Linked DNA regions of Saccharomyces cerevisiae S288C. Changing the gene in region 1 together with any one later gene gives a genetic interaction. Each region holds a gene or a part of one and is shown in the gene's direction. Other genes may lie near its edges.

Region 1 (5,110 bases):
GGAAGAAATTCTTGGTGGTAATTTCAAATTACGAGGCAGGAAAACTCAAGTTTCCATTAATCATTTGTTGAATTTCCAGTTACCTGAAGTCGAAAGGGAAAAAAGTAGGTCCTCTTCAAGTAAGAAATCGAATAGGAGACGCGATGAGCACGTACATTTACACGGTGACACATTTGTTAATGTTAATTACCGTCTTTTGGTAGATGATCGTTTTGACTACCCAGAGCAAAACTGTAACCCGAACGTTCCTGTCGATCAAGAAAAGATTCTAAGAGTCATAGTGCCAAAGGGTCAGAATTGTTCTATTTGTCTGAGCGAGGAACCGGTGGCTCCCAGAATGGTTACTTGTGGCCATATTTTCTGTCTAAGTTGTCTCTTGAACTTTTTCTCCATTGAAGAAACCGTCAAAAATAAAGAGACTGGGTACTCAAAGAAGAAGAAATATAAAGAATGCCCGCTTTGTGGAAGTATTATTGGCCCTAAAAGGGTCAAGCCTGTTCTGTATGAGGACGACTTTGATGTAACCAGGTTAAATCAAAAACCCGAACCTGGTGCCACAGTACATCTACAACTGATGTGTAAACCACACGGTTCACTATTACCTTTGCCAGTAGCCTTACATTTAGACCCTCTAAAATGTGGAAATTTCCCTCCCGCAAACTTAGGATCAATAAAGCATTATGCGCATATTATGAAGTGTGGCGTGTCTTACTCCTTGGAGCTCTATCAAAAGGACATTGTTGCTATTCAGGAACAATATGAAATCGACAAGGCCATTTATAATGATAGTGGAAAATTTGTTAAGCAGTCGATTGAAAATATCAATGATCAAATTTCGACGTTGCTGGCTGCAACCACTGATTTGAGCCCACTTTCCAACGATATTAACAACGGTTTGGACAATTTTCATTTTGATGACGATCTCTTGACCAAATACGATGATTCTTCCGCTTATTTTTTCTACCAGACGTTGGTGGCATCGTCCACGAAATACTTCTTATCTCCACTGGATGTAAAAATCTTATTGACTATTTTCCACTATTATTCCAAGTTTCCAGAAAGCATCGAGACGACAGTCGAAAATATACATTATGATACAGTGGTAACGGAGCAATTAATCCGCCGCTACAAGTACATCGGCCACCTTCCAATCGGCACTGAGATTGCCCTTTTAGACTTGGACTGGCGTAAAATACCATTCCTTCCCAAGGAAATTTACGAACAGTTTGCTCATGAGCTAAAACAACGTCGAAGAAAATTCACAATGAAAAAGCAAAAGGAAGATAAGGAAAAGAAACTATATGAAAAAAGGTTGGAACAAGAACATGCCGAGTTCTACAGAAAGGAAAATGGCAATTCTCTCAAGTTTGAAGACTCTGTACAGATGGCTACCCATTATGAATCCATTGTAAGCTCTTCCATACCTCTCAACTCCTTAGGAATTTCTATGCTGGGTCCACCGACAAATTCCTGCTCTACTCCTCAAAAGCAAGCGCCCTCCCACACGAAAAGAACAATTTGGGGGACATCAATTGCAGTGACGGAAGACGAAAAAGCATCAAAGGAGAACAAAGAATTTCAAGATATGTTATTGCAGCGAATAAGGCAGGAAGATAGTTCGGATGTCACAGATTCGACGGATTCTCCTCCTACAAGTAATGGTAAGCGAGGCAGGAAGAAGAAAGGTAAAGTCATGCTATTCAGCAGCAATCATCAAGCCTTGGGTTAGGTTACAGCATGTTCTGCTTAAAAATCTCTTTCCAAGCCAGAAATGTGGGAGGACCTATTCTATATCATTTCAAAATCGAACTCTATATCTTTATGTATAACTTCAAACGCTATTGCATATAAACAATTACTCATATATAGTCCAAATGCATTCATACCATGTTATACTATTCAATTCTAGTGTCGTTGTGCGTGATTTTTCACTTTTGACCGTAAATAGAATTTCGGTGATATTATTTTAACTCTCGAAGAAAATAAAGTAGATTCATGTACACGTATATCAAAAGAGTACAGTGAAAAAGGGATAAAGGATACACTCCACTTAGAAGGGCGCAAGATGAGTGGAAAATTTGTTCGTGCTTCTAAATATAGACACGTCTTTGGCCAAGCGGCCAAAAAGGAACTGCAATATGAAAAACTCAAAGTGACCAACAACGCATGGGACTCCAACTTGCTAAAAACGAATGGTAAATTTATTGCGGTGAATTGGAATGCCTCTGGAGGTGGTGCATTCGCTGTCATTCCGATCGAGGAAGTGGGCAAGGCTCCAGATCAAGTGCCTTTGTTCAGAGGCCACACTGCGCAGGTCTTGGATACCGATTTTGATCCGTTTAATGACCACAGGATTGCTTCCGGTTCCGATGATTCTAAGATTGGTATTTGGGACATACCGGAAAACTACAAATTTCACGATCATGTAGATGAAGATGGAGAGCCAATTGATATCAAACCAGTAAAGTTTTTGACAGGACACGCAAGGAAAGTTGGACATGTTCTTTATCATCCCGTCGCTGAGAATGTATTAGCATCCTCTTCAGGTGACTATACTGTTAAATTATGGAATGTGGAAACTGGAAAGGACATGATTACTTTGAAACATCCAGATATGGTCACATCCATGTCATTTTCGTATGATGGTAATTATCTTGCCACAGTGGCTCGAGATAAGAAACTACGAGTCTGGAATATCAGAGAAGAAAAAATTGTTAGCGAAGGGCCTGCCCATACGGGTGCAAAAAACCAAAGGGTGGTATGGTTAGGAAACTCTGACAGATTGGCTACTACTGGTTTTTCAAAATTGAGTGATCGTCAAATCGGTATTTGGGATGCCTTCAACATTGAAAAGGGAGATTTGGGAGGCTTCTACACTGTCGACCAATCATCAGGTATTTTGATGCCCTTTTATGACGAAGGGAATAAGATTCTTTACTTGGTGGGGAAAGGTGATGGTAATATTCGATACTACGAATTTCAAAACGACGAGCTGTTTGAGTTGTCTGAATTCCAATCCACAGAAGCACAGAGAGGCTTTGCTGTAGCGCCTAAGCGAATGGTGAACGTCAAAGAAAACGAAGTCTTAAAAGGTTTCAAGACTGTCGTTGATCAGCGTATCGAACCGGTATCTTTCTTTGTTCCAAGGAGATCAGAGGAGTTCCAAGAAGATATCTACCCGGATGCACCTTCCAATAAGCCAGCTTTAACTGCTGAAGAGTGGTTTTCTGGCAAGTCTGTTGAAGGTCCAATTCTCGTTAGTATGAGATCTATCTATGACGGTTCCGCACCAAGCTTTCATGAGGCTAAAAGACCTCAACAGCCAACAACTCAAGAAACAGCTCTTGAAGAGAAAAAGGAGCAGCCTAAAGTGGAGAAGCCAATCAGCGAATCCGAAAAGGAGGTGAAACAAGAAGCTCCAAAATCTCCCTCACCGCTAAAGTCGGCCTCCTCATCTTCTACAATCAACCATGTATTAAAGGAAGATAATTCGATCAACAAGTTGTTGAAGAAATCCTCCGATATTGATCAAGTTAACAACGCCGAAGATCCGTCTAGGGATACCTCCGGATGGGAAGAAGCCGATGATGAGCCAGCTCCTATCAAAATCGAAACCCCAGTCACTCCAACAGAAACTAAAAAGGATCGCACACCTAAGGTCGAACCTTCAAAAGAATTGAAGCCAGAGCCAGTGTCTATCGCAACAGATAGAAAACAGGAGCAAAGCTTACCTCAAGAAGAGAAGTCCTCTGAGAAAACAAAGTCCCCTGAGCAGGAAAAATCCGCAACACCTCCTTCTTCAATTACGGCTGCTAAGACAGCCATTACTGCCAGCAGTAAGGAAGAGCCATCCGCGGCAAGGACATCACCTAAGTCATTGGGTTTAAAAAAGTCTGTCGAAAAACTATCTACATTGGTTCTGCAATTAGAAGATGTAGTTGATAAATTAACGAAAGCAAATCTTGACAAAGATGAGCGCCTGTTAAAGTTGGAACAAAAAATTGGCGAACTGTCAAAATGAAAATTTTTTGTACTTTTAATGATAAAATTAAGTGAGTCCTTTTTATAGGAAAGATGTATTTTGATTATATGTAATGTACATAAGACGGCGGCGATAATAATGCACTTAGAAAGTGAATCATGTTCACCTGTCCACTAACAAAAAAGGAAACAAAATGTTGCTTTCCCACAGGAAAAAGAATGTTTTTGACAAAACACTAAGCGTTATGTGACCAATGTATAATTGTCCTCATCATATAGTTTTATGCAAGCATAAATAAGTCTTTCTTTTAGTTAAAACGCGTTACATAGTAAAGGTAACCCTGAATGAATTTTTATTTATATTTTTCTTCGCATATTTTAGGATCTTGAAAAATTAACCACAAGTTAGAAGTTGATGAGATCAGGAATTCTAACAAAAGGTCATTGGTTAGGTTTATTTTGTAGGTGCACGTTTGCAACTTTATTCCTTTTGTTTCAAAGTTATAGAGCTTTCATTTTCTCATTCTTCTCTAGTGTAGGTCATTTCTCCTGCATATTAACCTACTAGAAAAGTTTACGAAGCTTCATAGGAACGAATAATCGATCACTTTAAAGGCTTCCCGCACTTTAATCTTATCATCTACACCTACAAAAAAGCTCTACTTTGTCATTTATTTTCTACTTCATCTCTGTATGGCATCTATCTCTATATATATAAAAAAGCGCATCTGTTTATTATAAATGAATTCCAACAATCCTGATAATAATAATAGCAACAACATTAATAATAATAATAAGGATAAGGATATTGCCCCCAATAGCGATGTTCAGCTAGCTACCGTCTATACCAAGGCAAAGTCTTACATTCCTCAGATTGAACAAGTTTATCAAGGCACAAATCCAAATATTCAAGAGGCAAAATTATTAGGGGAGTTATTACAAGTTCTAGCAGAAGTTCCCAAGGGTACGCATTTATTTTGCGACCCCATACTTGAACCAATATCAATTTTTTCCCTAACCATTTTCTCATTCAATGAAGAAGCTACGGCCACATGGCTGAAGAATCATTTTAATCCAATTCTCTCTGTTTGTGATAAATGCATTCTAAATTTTGCGAGAGGGAAGTGCA
Region 2 (3,734 bases), 950 kb from region 1:
TGTTGCTATAGTTGTTTCAATATTGTATTATTTTGTTGGGTATTTCTACATGGCAGGTTCTCGTGAATTGAAAAGATTTGAATCTATTTCTAGATCACCGATCTATCAACATTTTTCCGAGACTCTTGTCGGTGTTACCACCATTCGTGCGTTTGGTGATGAAGGGAGGTTTATGCAAGAGAATTTACACAAAATTGATGAAAATAATAAACCATTCTTCTACTTGTGGGTTGCTAATCGTTGGTTGGCCTTTAGGATAGATATGATTGGATCCTTGGTCATTTTTGGAGCTGGTTTGTTCATTCTATTCAATATTAATAATCTGGATTCGGGTATGGCTGGTATATCTTTGACGTATGCTATTTCCTTCACTGAAGGGGCATTGTGGTTGGTAAGATTGTACTCTGAAGTGGAGATGAATATGAATTCTGTTGAAAGAGTCAAAGAATATATGGAAATTGAGCAAGAGCCATACAACGAACACAAAGAAATACCGCCACCACAATGGCCACAAGACGGTAAAATCGAGGTTAATGATTTATCATTACGGTATGCTCCAAATCTACCTAGAGTAATTAAAAATGTTTCATTTTCTGTCGACGCTCAGTCTAAGATCGGTATTGTTGGTAGAACCGGTGCCGGTAAATCAACTATTATTACCGCCTTGTTCAGATTTTTGGAACCTGAGACAGGCCATATCAAAATTGATAATATCGATATTTCCGGTGTTGATTTACAAAGACTGCGTCGTTCTATAACTATTATTCCACAAGATCCAACACTATTCTCAGGGACGATTAAAACAAACCTAGACCCATATGATGAATTTAGTGACAGACAGATCTTTGAAGCTTTGAAACGTGTAAATCTAATTAGTGAAGAACAATTACAACAAGGCGCCACAAGAGAAACAAGCAATGAGGCTTCGTCGACTAACTCCGAAAATGTTAATAAATTCTTGGATTTAAGTAGTGAAATTAGCGAAGGTGGATCCAATTTGTCTCAAGGACAGCGCCAATTGATGTGCCTTGCTAGATCTTTACTGAGGAGTCCAAAGATCATATTGCTGGACGAAGCTACAGCGTCCATCGACTACAGTTCCGATGCGAAGATCCAAGAAACCATAAGAAAAGAGTTCCAAGGTAGTACAATTTTGACAATTGCACATAGGTTGAGATCTGTTATCGATTATGATAAAATTTTGGTGATGGATGCAGGTGAGGTAAAAGAGTATGATCACCCATATTCTTTGTTACTTAACAAACAAAGTGCCTTTTATAGCATGTGTGAGCATAGTGGAGAATTGGATATCCTAATTGAATTGGCTAAAAAAGCCTTTGTGGAAAAATTGAACTCTAAAAAGGACTAGCTGTTTCGATGCTAAAGTATATATATATATATATATATATATATATATATATATATGTATATACGCACACATGTTCACGTACTATAAATTACCTTTTGTAAATTCAACAGCCTCTTTTTCTGGAACTGGAAGAATCCGTTAACTTCAATATTCCAGTCGATGAAACGGTTTAGAATTGCAATTGACCTCAAAATCATTATGTTGCAGTTATCCACCAACTCGGGTAACTTCTTCAACTGTTTCGTTTCAATATTTGCGTCTTTGAAGGAAATCTGATCCAATGAACTTTTACTGATTTGGCAAAACTCCATATATTGGCTGTTTAGTTCGTCAAATGCACTATATAATGTATAAATATCGTCAAAGCAACTAGCAAAAATACAAATATCATCAGGAGCTCCCACGTTCTCGATGTCTTCAGCCATGAAAGTATTAAAGAGTTGCAGGAGATCTTGAGAATACTTTAGACCCTGGAAATATAGACGATGTAACTGATTGTATAGTTCATCTAATTGCACTGAAACATCGGAATTCGCGCTGTATCCGGCGCCTATAAGCCGCTCCAATCGGTCACACCTGTATTCTAAAGCTTCAACAAGCTTAAGACCAGGCATCAAACTTCCTTTGGTAGAGGCTAATGGCCTTGGAAGCTCGAGAGAACATTCTATAAGTTCATCAATCACTTATACTATATGCAGTACCTCTAAATTACCTAATATCCGGGTAATAAGAACAATATTCGGGTGACGCCGCCCCTGTTTGATGACAAAATTGGAAGAAAAAGAGGAAACAAGAAAAGACTGGTTAGCAACTACGTAAACTTCAGATTTCAAAACATACATAAACAAAAAACTAACAAAAGAAGATGTCTAGATCTGGGTATGCTAAATTTCATTTGTACTCCTGTGTAAACTATCAATTACTAACTAATTGACATGATGCTGTTTTATCTCGCTCTCTTATGTCCTTTCTTTCCTCCCTTTTTAACATGGAACTTTAAAAGGAATGTGGGGGAAAAAATTCATAAGAAGCCAGGAAAATGTGAAGTTTCTGTGTAGTGTTGCTGTTGCTGATGAATCCCTTACCGCTTTCAATGACTTGAAATTGGGTAAAAAATACAAATTTATTTTATTCGGATTGAACGATGCTAAAACCGAAATCGTTGTCAAGGAAACCTCTACTGACCCATCTTACGATGCCTTCTTAGAGAAATTGCCAGAAAACGACTGTCTTTACGCCATTTACGATTTTGAATACGAAATTAATGGTAATGAAGGTAAGAGATCCAAGATTGTTTTCTTCACTTGGTCTCCAGACACTGCTCCAGTCAGATCTAAGATGGTCTATGCATCCTCCAAGGATGCCTTAAGAAGAGCCTTAAACGGTGTCTCTACCGATGTTCAAGGTACTGATTTTTCCGAAGTTTCTTACGATTCTGTTTTGGAAAGAGTCAGCAGAGGCGCTGGTTCTCATTAAGGTAAATGATTTCACAAATGACAACAATCTTCAAGAAAAATGAAAATGTATATCTATATATAAAATCGTCATATATATACAGAATACATGTATAGAATTATTATAATTATAATTTTCTCTTCGCAACTCTATCTAAAACACAATACTTAGATTTAAGGTCCCGTACACCCCGGCTAGTGGGCATTGTTTTTGCACCCATATTTGTAATTCTAAATTCAGAACGGAAATACTGGCCATGTAGATCAAGAAAAGATACAAGGTCATCGAACCAGGCAGCAATGATTTTTCTATAATCTTCTAAAGTGAAGCATGACGACCATAGCTCGTTGAATATGCATAGAACGCTTCTGTTTTTAACGTGGCTGATATCTTTAACAAAGGCTTTTAATATAAAATTACCACACACTGAAAAAAAAGACCATTTGGAATCCAACGCTGTGCTGGCATGCGCATCCTATATAAATACTCTGAAGTGGTCATTTGATAGCTCCGTCGTACCGGGTTTCTATTCTACCATATGCTCTTATTCACCAGCGTTTGATACTTGGTCACTTTGTATCTTCAATTCGCTTACAGACCAGATTATTCCCATGGACAACACAAGTTTCGAAGAAAGCTTGGGTAACGTACGAAAAACGTGCTCGTTTGTCGATAAAAAGTTTAGCAATATTTCACTGGAGCAATACTACTCATCTTTAAATAATGCTTCTTCTCACGCTTTGGAAGACTATGGTTCTATTGAAAGTTTATCGACATCCATTCGAGTCGATCGTGAGACAAGATCTAGATGGATACGAGCTTTTCATGCGCATGCCTATAATTTAGATATCAGCAGTGTTTATGGTGCATATTTAACTTACTACTTCGTCATAGTGGGTATTATCGCCGT
Region 3 (4,282 bases), on another chromosome or scaffold:
TGATGGTGATGAAACCATGCAGATATAGTGTTGAATGATAATTCACCTTTTTTTTCTTTCTTTTTTTTTTTACCTGGGACGACATTCTAACTAATGAAATTTACGATTAATTATTCTTTTTTTTTTTTTTCAAGAAATAAATATAACTGTAACATATATATATTAATTATGGGGGATCACAAAGAAAAATAGTAACTTTAAGAATCAAATAATAATGTGTTGCGCTTCTTAGTACTCATCCGGCATTTACGGTTTCCATGGTATGGTTTATTTTTCGTGCATAGTATTACCCGTCGTGTTCTTTTCGGACATTGGAAAGTTGTCCATCCCAAACACTTAAGATGAGTTAAAAGGCGTTGGCGTTTGCCTTCTCCGTGTGATTGATTTACAGTTCAGCCCAGTGATCATTTAGCTTACCCATCATCGCGTAAAATGTGGCTCACAGAGGCTCAAAGTATGTTTTTAATATTTTAGATGCTCTTTGCTTCTCCGAGAGACGTTAGTTCCTTTTTTACTAACAACTTACTTTTCACTAGAATTTGGTGTGGCCTTCACTTTCGGCGGTTTTCTCTTCTTTTTGTTTGGTATATTTACTTTTTTTGATCGTGCCCTATTGGCCTTGGGCAATATTTTGTTTTTAATTGGAGTATTCTTAATAATCGGTTCACAAAAGACATATATTTTTTTTACCAGGCCAAACAAAAGGCGCGGTTCACTATTTTTCCTAGTTGGTGCCTTCTTAATACTGTTGAAATGGACATTTTTGGGCTTTATAATTGAATCTCTAGGTATTATAGGTCTCTTTGGTGATTTTTTTGGCGTCATCGTACAATTTTTGAGATCAATGCCCATAATTGGTCCCATACTTTCTCACCCAGCAATCGCTCCAATAGTAGATAAATTAGCGGGAGTTAGGGTTCTGCCAGTATAATGGTAAAATTTTGTATGTGAATATCATAGATTAATTTTTTCGAACTTTCTATAGGTATAAAGTAAAAATAATAATATTTACATGATTAACGTTGTCCTCACAAATTTATGATATTGACTCGACAAAATCTAACACAGTGGAATCATCACCATATTGACCTACTACCTGTAAGCCAATCGGGGTCTTCTCTTTTAAAGGCATTGATAAACTTGGTAGTCCAGCCAATGACATTGGGACAGTAAAGACATCGTTTATATACGAGTTAGCCGGAGATTTGGCTTCCTCTTCTTCGAAGTCCCTTATGGATCCAGGAAGCTTGGACGATGTGGGAACTATCAGTAGATCTAGGCCGTCTGGATTTCCCTTAGAATTAGTTAAAACATTTGGAAATCTGAAGATCCCGTCAAATTCATCGATCAAATTAACTCGTAGCTTTTCTGCCTTAATAAAATTGTTCTTAAATGCATCTGAACAAAGATTATAATTACCTAGAATGATTCTATTCTTAACTTCTGTTCCGAATTTGGACCTAGTAGGTGCGAATAAAATACCGTCTTTTATATCGAGTTCTGAATCTCTGTATCCATATCTGATACCATCATACCTTGATAAATTGGAAGCCGCTTCAGCGGGTGATAGCGTATAATAAATCGGTAAACAGTTTTTTACAGATGGAATGGATACAGGGTATATTTCAAGCCCTAAATTTATCAGCTTTTCTAGTAAGGATAAATATAATCTGTGGAACCCAATGGGCATACTTTCATGGCTAAATTCCTTTACAATTCCTACCTTTAAAGGTCTCCTAACCTTTTTATTCCCTTCTATCAATTCACGCAATTCCACACTTAAGGAAGTGGGATCTTTCATGTCATATTTATCGAGCGTATGAAATACTTTTCGCAAGACGTTTATCTTTTTGCTAAGTATGCCAACAGTGTCTAAAGATTGAGAATACGCTATTACGCCAAATCTTGACAACCGTCCATAGGACGGCTTGAATCCTAAAACAGATCCATAGCATGCGGGGAGCCTAACGGAGCCACCAGTATCTGTTCCCAAGGCAAAATCGACTAGATCGCAAGCAACGCTTGCAGCGGCTCCAGACGATGAACCTCCCATGATCTTCTTGTCCTCATGAGGATATAAAGGGTTAATTACGGGCCCTCTTATTGAATGTACTCCCCCAGAACCCATTCCAAATTCATCTAAATTTGTCTTGCCTAAGATATGCACTCCTGCCTGTTTTAATAGTTTCACTACTGTTGCATCGAAGGGAGACTTGAAATTCTCAAGTATATGTGAGGCACATGTGGTTGGAAAATCTTTTGTAACTATATTATCCTTGATACTGGCAACGCAACCTGTCAATGTTTCTTTTGTACCTTTTTTATTTGTGATTGAATAAGGAGATGGATTGATACTAGTGAAAATATTATATTTTGATTGAAAACTAGATAATCTTTCGATTGATTCTTTTAAGGAGCGTTTCAGTGGCATTTTTGTATAATCAAAGTTAGGACTCCAATTGAGGGGCCATCTTTCCAGCACAAATAATAGTGTTTACAAGTATAGATGTACTATTACTTTTTTGGGAGCCAATGCATTTCAAAAAAAAAAAGAAGAGCAGATAAGTCATGAGGCTAAGAAAGATAAAGAAATCTACTGGTTGATGAACGTCATAGATTTAAGTGATCCTGCCATCAATGTGGATTATGATAGCTTGATTGGCATTGACAATGAGGAATCTCAAGAAATTTTTGAAAATGAAGTGAAGGAAGATGGACAACAAGAAGAGCAGGAAGAAGCATCTTCAAGAAAAGATGGGCTCATCGTTGAACCAGGGAGAGATGTTGAGAGTTTGAGAAGGGCTATTCGAGATCAGTTGCTTTTCAAGATACATAGACAAAACCAATCAGACTGTGCAGATGCGAGAAAGTTGAGTAACGATGAAGAAGATGAAAGTCGGCAACAGAAATTAGAAAGAATAAGAGAAGAATTGGAGGAGTTGAAAATAGAAAATTTAACATCTGAAATGCAAACTGAAATCAAGGAATTGTGCGAAATTCAATCAAAATTGGCGACGGAATCATCTAGTAGATTGACAAATTTGAGGAAGAAGCTTCTCGAAACATATGAAGGCCAAGATACCGTCATATTGCCAAACATAATTCTTGATACGAGTAATATCAAAAGATTGCAAAAGTTAGATCAGAAAATATCCCTAATGGAACGTTTTGTTGGCATACCAGAAGCTTTGGAGGCAGAAGAAGATAGGAAATCGGTTCATAGTAAAGTCAATGAACTATATAGAAGTATTCAACTTTTACAAGGCGATGATAAGGCGGAAGGAAAGCTGCAAAAGTTCCGGGATAGACTCGTAGAACTGAACGAGGAATTTGAAAACTCATTGTTAGGCAAGAAAATACAACAGGACTTGAGGTTGAAAGATGACACCGTGAGCAAGCTTGTTATGCCCGAAAACAAAGTAAAGGAGATAAATAGTATGTATTCCATGTTCAAGCAATATCAAGATTCACTACCACTGTTGGCGGAGAGGATGAAAAGTCTCAATAAAATGAACAACAGGGTGATCGAGGTGTACGAAACCACGAAAGGGCTGGATTCACAAATAACCAGCATCCAAGAACAAGGAAAAGTTTGGCTAAAGGCTTTAAATGAGCTGGATAAAAAATTCGATGAACAAGAGGTTAAAATTCGCGAAAATATGGAGCAGATCAGGCGTAAAATTGATACCCTCGAAGACGAAGCTCTACAGAGAAATAGCAAATAAAAGGCGGAGAAATAATTTTATAAACCAATTTAATTTCATTCTTCATTTTTTCGTCTCCATATGACAAAAAAATTGAAAATATGTGTGTGTATGTATATATAATAATAGTAATAATAACAATATGAAATATGAAATATCCAAAATAAGAGCGGAAAACAGAAATTATCATAAAAAAGAAAAAAATAAAGTCTCTAAAGGGTATCAAGCGCTTATTTCTTCTTCATTCTACCAAACAATCCCTTCTTCTTCTTCTTTTGCTTTTCCTCAGTCTGTACGTGTTGTTGTGGCTGATACACTGCTTGTTCACCATACATTTGACTGGAAGCACCACCCACTTGCTGTGGCATACCGTTCGCATCGTAAGTCACAGCAGCACCAAACACAGGGAAATCAGGTCTTACGCGGAACCCGTAAGTTGGAGTCTCCAACTGTTGGGCCCAGACCGGGTCTCCGGAGACAGCATACTCGAAACTTCTTATAGTGTCCAAAGGTCTTTCGTCTCTTGCCCTAGTTGGATTCGATATATCTGCCTGTGTGATGGGTTGACCGAAAACATC
Region 4 (3,766 bases), on another chromosome or scaffold:
TTCATCATCCGGCAAACGAGTATTTGAAGAATACTTTTGGAAATTCACATAGTAATGACATCGGAAAGGGAGTTGAAGTGCTATCTTTGACACCGAGTTTTATGGATATTCCCGAAAAAGAAAGAGAAACGGAAAGATCGCCATCATCCAATTACATTACTGACAGACCTTTCACTCGAAAACCTAGATCTTCTAGCATTGACGTAAACCATAGGTATCCACCTATGGCACCAACAACCGTAGCGACATCTCCCGGTGCATTGAACAATGCCGTAGCAAGCAATCTCGACGATCAACTGAGTTTAACATCACTAAACTCTCAGCCATCATCGATAGCAAATATGATGATGGACCCTTCAAACCTAGCTGAGCAAAGTTCTATTCATTCAGTTCCTCAGTCAATAAACTCTCCGAGAATGCCTAAAACTGGAAGTCGCCAAGACAAGAACATTCACACTAAGAAGGAAGAAAGAAATCCGCTAAATAACATACACGATCTGTCACAATTGGAAAATGTACCAGACGAGATGAACCAAATGTTCTCCCCACCATTAAAAAGTATGAATAGACCGGATGCCATAAGGGAAAATTCATCTAGTAGTAATTTCATAATCCAAGGAAATAGCATGATCTCTACGCCTTCCGGAAGGAATGACCTTCCAGATACCTCTCCAATGAGTAGTATTCAAACAGCGTCACCACCAAGTCAATTACTGACCGATCAAGGATTTGCGGATTTGGATAATTTCATGTCTTCGTTATGATAAATTTGCTTTTCGTCTCTTGCTTCTCTGTAACTGTAGTTTTCCTCCTCCCACATATATATATATATATACACTTTTATACACCTAATAATATCATCGGCATTATGATTGCTTATACATTTTCATAATCAATATTACTGTTCACCATTTGAATCACTGCAGAAATATGCACTGCGCCTTCTTTTTCTTTGCCTGAAGCACCCACACACAAGAACAGGAATGTGAATGGCCTCCCCATCTCACTTTTACTTAATAGTATTCTGACAATATAAGGTATCAGAGAGTAAGACCATTATTAGGCAAACAATAATCTTCAGAATTTTTAGTAGCGCATTCTCAACCTTTCTAGGTGCGTTTTTCTAATGAAATAGTATCGTTTTCCTTCCGCATTCCTTGCGTAGTTTGTTGTGTAAATATAGCAATAAGAAACCCTATAAATCATTATGATGTAACTCCCGATTCTTTTAAATAATTACATAAACTAGGAAGGCAAGTCCGAACACGCAGAGATGAGGTATTTGCACTCAATGACAAATCTAGGTTTAAACTACGGGGCTCCATACCTTATCTCTTCACTTATCAAAAGTAGGCAAAAGAAAAGAAAATAAATATAATTTCTTTTTCTGCAGGCAAGATTTTAAAAGAACTTGCGCGTCCTCTGTGCAATCTACCTGGGGAGTCTCGGGCTTTAACCGCTCCCCATTCTAAACTGCTTCCATTGACGTGTACTATACTGCTCACTTCTTGCTCTTCGAGCAACAAAATCTGTATTACGTTTCTTACACTAGTCGAGTGAAAGAGATAAGATACCCACTTTTACTTGCCGGGAGAATGGAAAAGAGAAAACGGAAGAAAGGGCTTAAATACATTTTCCTTTAATATGAACATCCTACTGTAAGATAAAAATTGGATGCTGATAATGGAAAGGAGACATGTACGGTATGTACGGCAAAACCTCGGCGGGTTTTCGCCGCTAGCTCATATATTCTTTCGTTAAATTTTAAAATTTCTTATTCTAAATCTTCTTTACATGTTTGGAAAGAATTTATTGGAGAGAAAAATCTAGACCTGCCAAGCCGATAAACGAATGCCTGCGAAGAAATAGTGTAAATATTACTCCTGAAGGTAGAGTCATCTAGGCGGAGACGAAAACAAAGTTTAGCTTTTCGTGAAATTGCCCATTTCATGTTTATCAACCACCAAAGGTTAAATGGAGGTTTGACAAAAGAAATTTTCTTGCTAAAGGTTAGCATTTTTTTTGGAATTTTTTTTCCTTCGACTGGCTGTAGTTGTCCTTCTATATTACGTACAACAAAAACTTTCTTGAATGAAGAATTAGTTCTATCATATAGACCATAAGAAAGAAAACGCACTTGGATAATTTTTAACAAAGAAGAGGGCAAACTGACGCTCACCAAGCTATTGGTTTGTTTGGATCAATCGTCAGATATGAAGCCGAACAATCGAACTTGTGATGTAATTACCAACAAAGATGAATCTCTTCCTGCACTTTTGCTGCCTGCACTGAACAGTTACACCTGTGACGATTCATTGCTAAAAGGACAAATTTCAAGCAATGGCAGATATCAACCATTCGGGTTTTCTGATTGCTCTTTACTGCCAAAGCGTTTAAACATTCAGGCAGGGCAAGGATCTATGCCAGTTTCTTCGATTCAATGTGCAGACCACAGTTATAGTAATTGGCAAAAAGAATCCGAAAAGACTAAGCTTCCCAAGCTTGGTTGCCCAACAGAGTACACTGAATACTATAAAACTGTTTCTTCCGGCGAAACAACCGATTCAGCGGTTGTTTCATCTATAGCAACGAACAGACTCAAAAGAAAACGTCAGAGGGACGGCCCAAGTTGTGACTCTTGTAGGATAAAGAAAATAAAATGCAATGCAACAATCATTATCTTTTTACAGGATAGGAACCTAATTTCATCAATTTCTTCAAATTTGCATTATACACTTTCCCAAGACGACATAAACCAGTTTCGAATGAAGTTTTTCAGGAAACTGCCTGACGTGATGGGCACATATGAAGTCATAAAACACCTTGATAAAATAGTCCTTTTCAAAGCCTGCACCTCTTGCAGTAGAAGAAACCAAAAAAATGGAAAGTGTCTTTTTTCGAGAGGATTTACAAAATCTGATATGAACGTATTTCCCAAGATAAATAGTAAACTTAAAGACAAAAGTATCTTCGAGATGACTGTCGATGATTATGTTGCCGCTGGCTTCCAAACCCTTTAGGTTTCATGCATGTAATTTCCTCCTATGTAAAATATAGGAATATTAATAAAACGCACCAATAATAAGTTAGATATTTTTCTGCAAGATATAAATTTGTTTACTCATACATATATATTCTATTGCGGGGCGCTCTTGTATAAGTAATTCAATAAAAAACCTCTATATGATACAATTGACCAAGCCTTCATTTACCATTCTATATCAATTTGGAAAGAAGGGTATTTCTCTATTTGGGCTCTACATTATAACGCAATCTTATACCCATTGCGGATAGCTCAGAGTCCAAGTACTTCAACACAAATGGTATGGCCACCGTAGTTGTTTCATTACCACCAACAAATTTGTTACCTTGTCCATCTTCCCAAATTTGAGAGTCGTCAATAAAAATTTTCTCTCCATCTTCTGATTTAGTCAATAGCTTCTTTGCATCTTCGAATCTCATGGAACAACGACGGCAACAAACGGTGGAAATCGAACCAATTCTTGGCACACTCTGTTGCGTGGTCAAAATAGAACCACACTCGCGACATACGGATGCCTGTGTGTAGTCTGATGAATTTAGCAGACGATCTTGTAATAGAAAAGATGTACCATGCCCAATCAAAGCATCTCTTTCCATTTCACCGACACGAATACCACCATGTCTCTTTCTACCTTTGACAGGCTGCATAGTCAAACTATTCACAGGACCAGTGGAACGAACTTGGAACTTGTCATTGACCATATGACGTAATCTTTGGTAGTAG

Evidence for each region.
Region 2: mutations in CRN1 (region 1) and COF1 are lethal when combined (synthetic lethality), as found in Saccharomyces cerevisiae (4 studies listed by BioGRID, with this or other methods).
Region 3: mutations in CRN1 (region 1) and JNM1 together harm fitness more than expected from each alone (negative genetic interaction), as found in Saccharomyces cerevisiae (2 studies listed by BioGRID).
Region 4: mutations in CRN1 (region 1) and SUT2 together harm fitness more than expected from each alone (negative genetic interaction), as found in Saccharomyces cerevisiae (2 studies listed by BioGRID).

The regions. Positions count from the first base shown.
Region 1 is NC_001144.5:988,712-993,821, forward strand, and holds CRN1 (coronin), read left to right. Parts: upstream 1-2,065; coding exon 2,066-4,021; downstream 4,022-5,110. Other genes in the region: RING-type E3 ubiquitin transferase MAG2, read left to right, coding at 1-1,729; DNA/RNA helicase SEN1, read left to right, coding at 4,723-5,110.
Region 2 is NC_001144.5:38,915-42,648, reverse strand, and holds COF1 (cofilin), read left to right. Parts: upstream 1-2,234; coding exon 2,235-2,248; intron 2,249-2,427; coding exon 2,428-2,845; downstream 2,846-3,734. Other genes in the region: bile acid-transporting ATPase YBT1, read left to right, coding at 1-1,369; LDB18 (Ldb18p), read right to left, coding at 1,444-1,983; FRE6 (putative ferric-chelate reductase), read left to right, coding at 3,178-3,734. UniProt on the Saccharomyces cerevisiae protein: Controls reversibly actin polymerization and depolymerization in a pH-sensitive manner. It has the ability to bind G- and F-actin in a 1:1 ratio of cofilin to actin. Binding to F-actin is regulated by tropomyosin.
Region 3 is NC_001145.3:854,363-858,644, forward strand, and holds JNM1 (Jnm1p), read left to right. Parts: upstream 1-2,603; coding exon 2,604-3,725; downstream 3,726-4,282. Other genes in the region: protein kinase TDA1, read left to right, coding at 1-28; GOT1 (Got1p), read left to right, coding at 433-454, 537-931; glutamyl-tRNA(Gln) amidotransferase subunit HER2, read right to left, coding at 1,037-2,431; GSR1 (Gsr1p), read right to left, coding at 3,935-4,282. UniProt on the Saccharomyces cerevisiae protein: Component of the dynactin complex which assists cytoplasmic dynein by increasing its processivity and by regulation of its cargo binding.
Region 4 is NC_001148.4:574,339-578,104, forward strand, and holds SUT2 (Sut2p), read left to right. Parts: upstream 1-2,213; coding exon 2,214-3,020; downstream 3,021-3,766. Other genes in the region: HAA1 (Haa1p), read left to right, coding at 1-764; DNA-directed RNA polymerase I core subunit RPA135, read right to left, coding at 3,247-3,766. UniProt on the Saccharomyces cerevisiae protein: Putative transcription factor involved in the regulation of the activity of the cAMP/protein kinase A pathway. Involved in sterol uptake.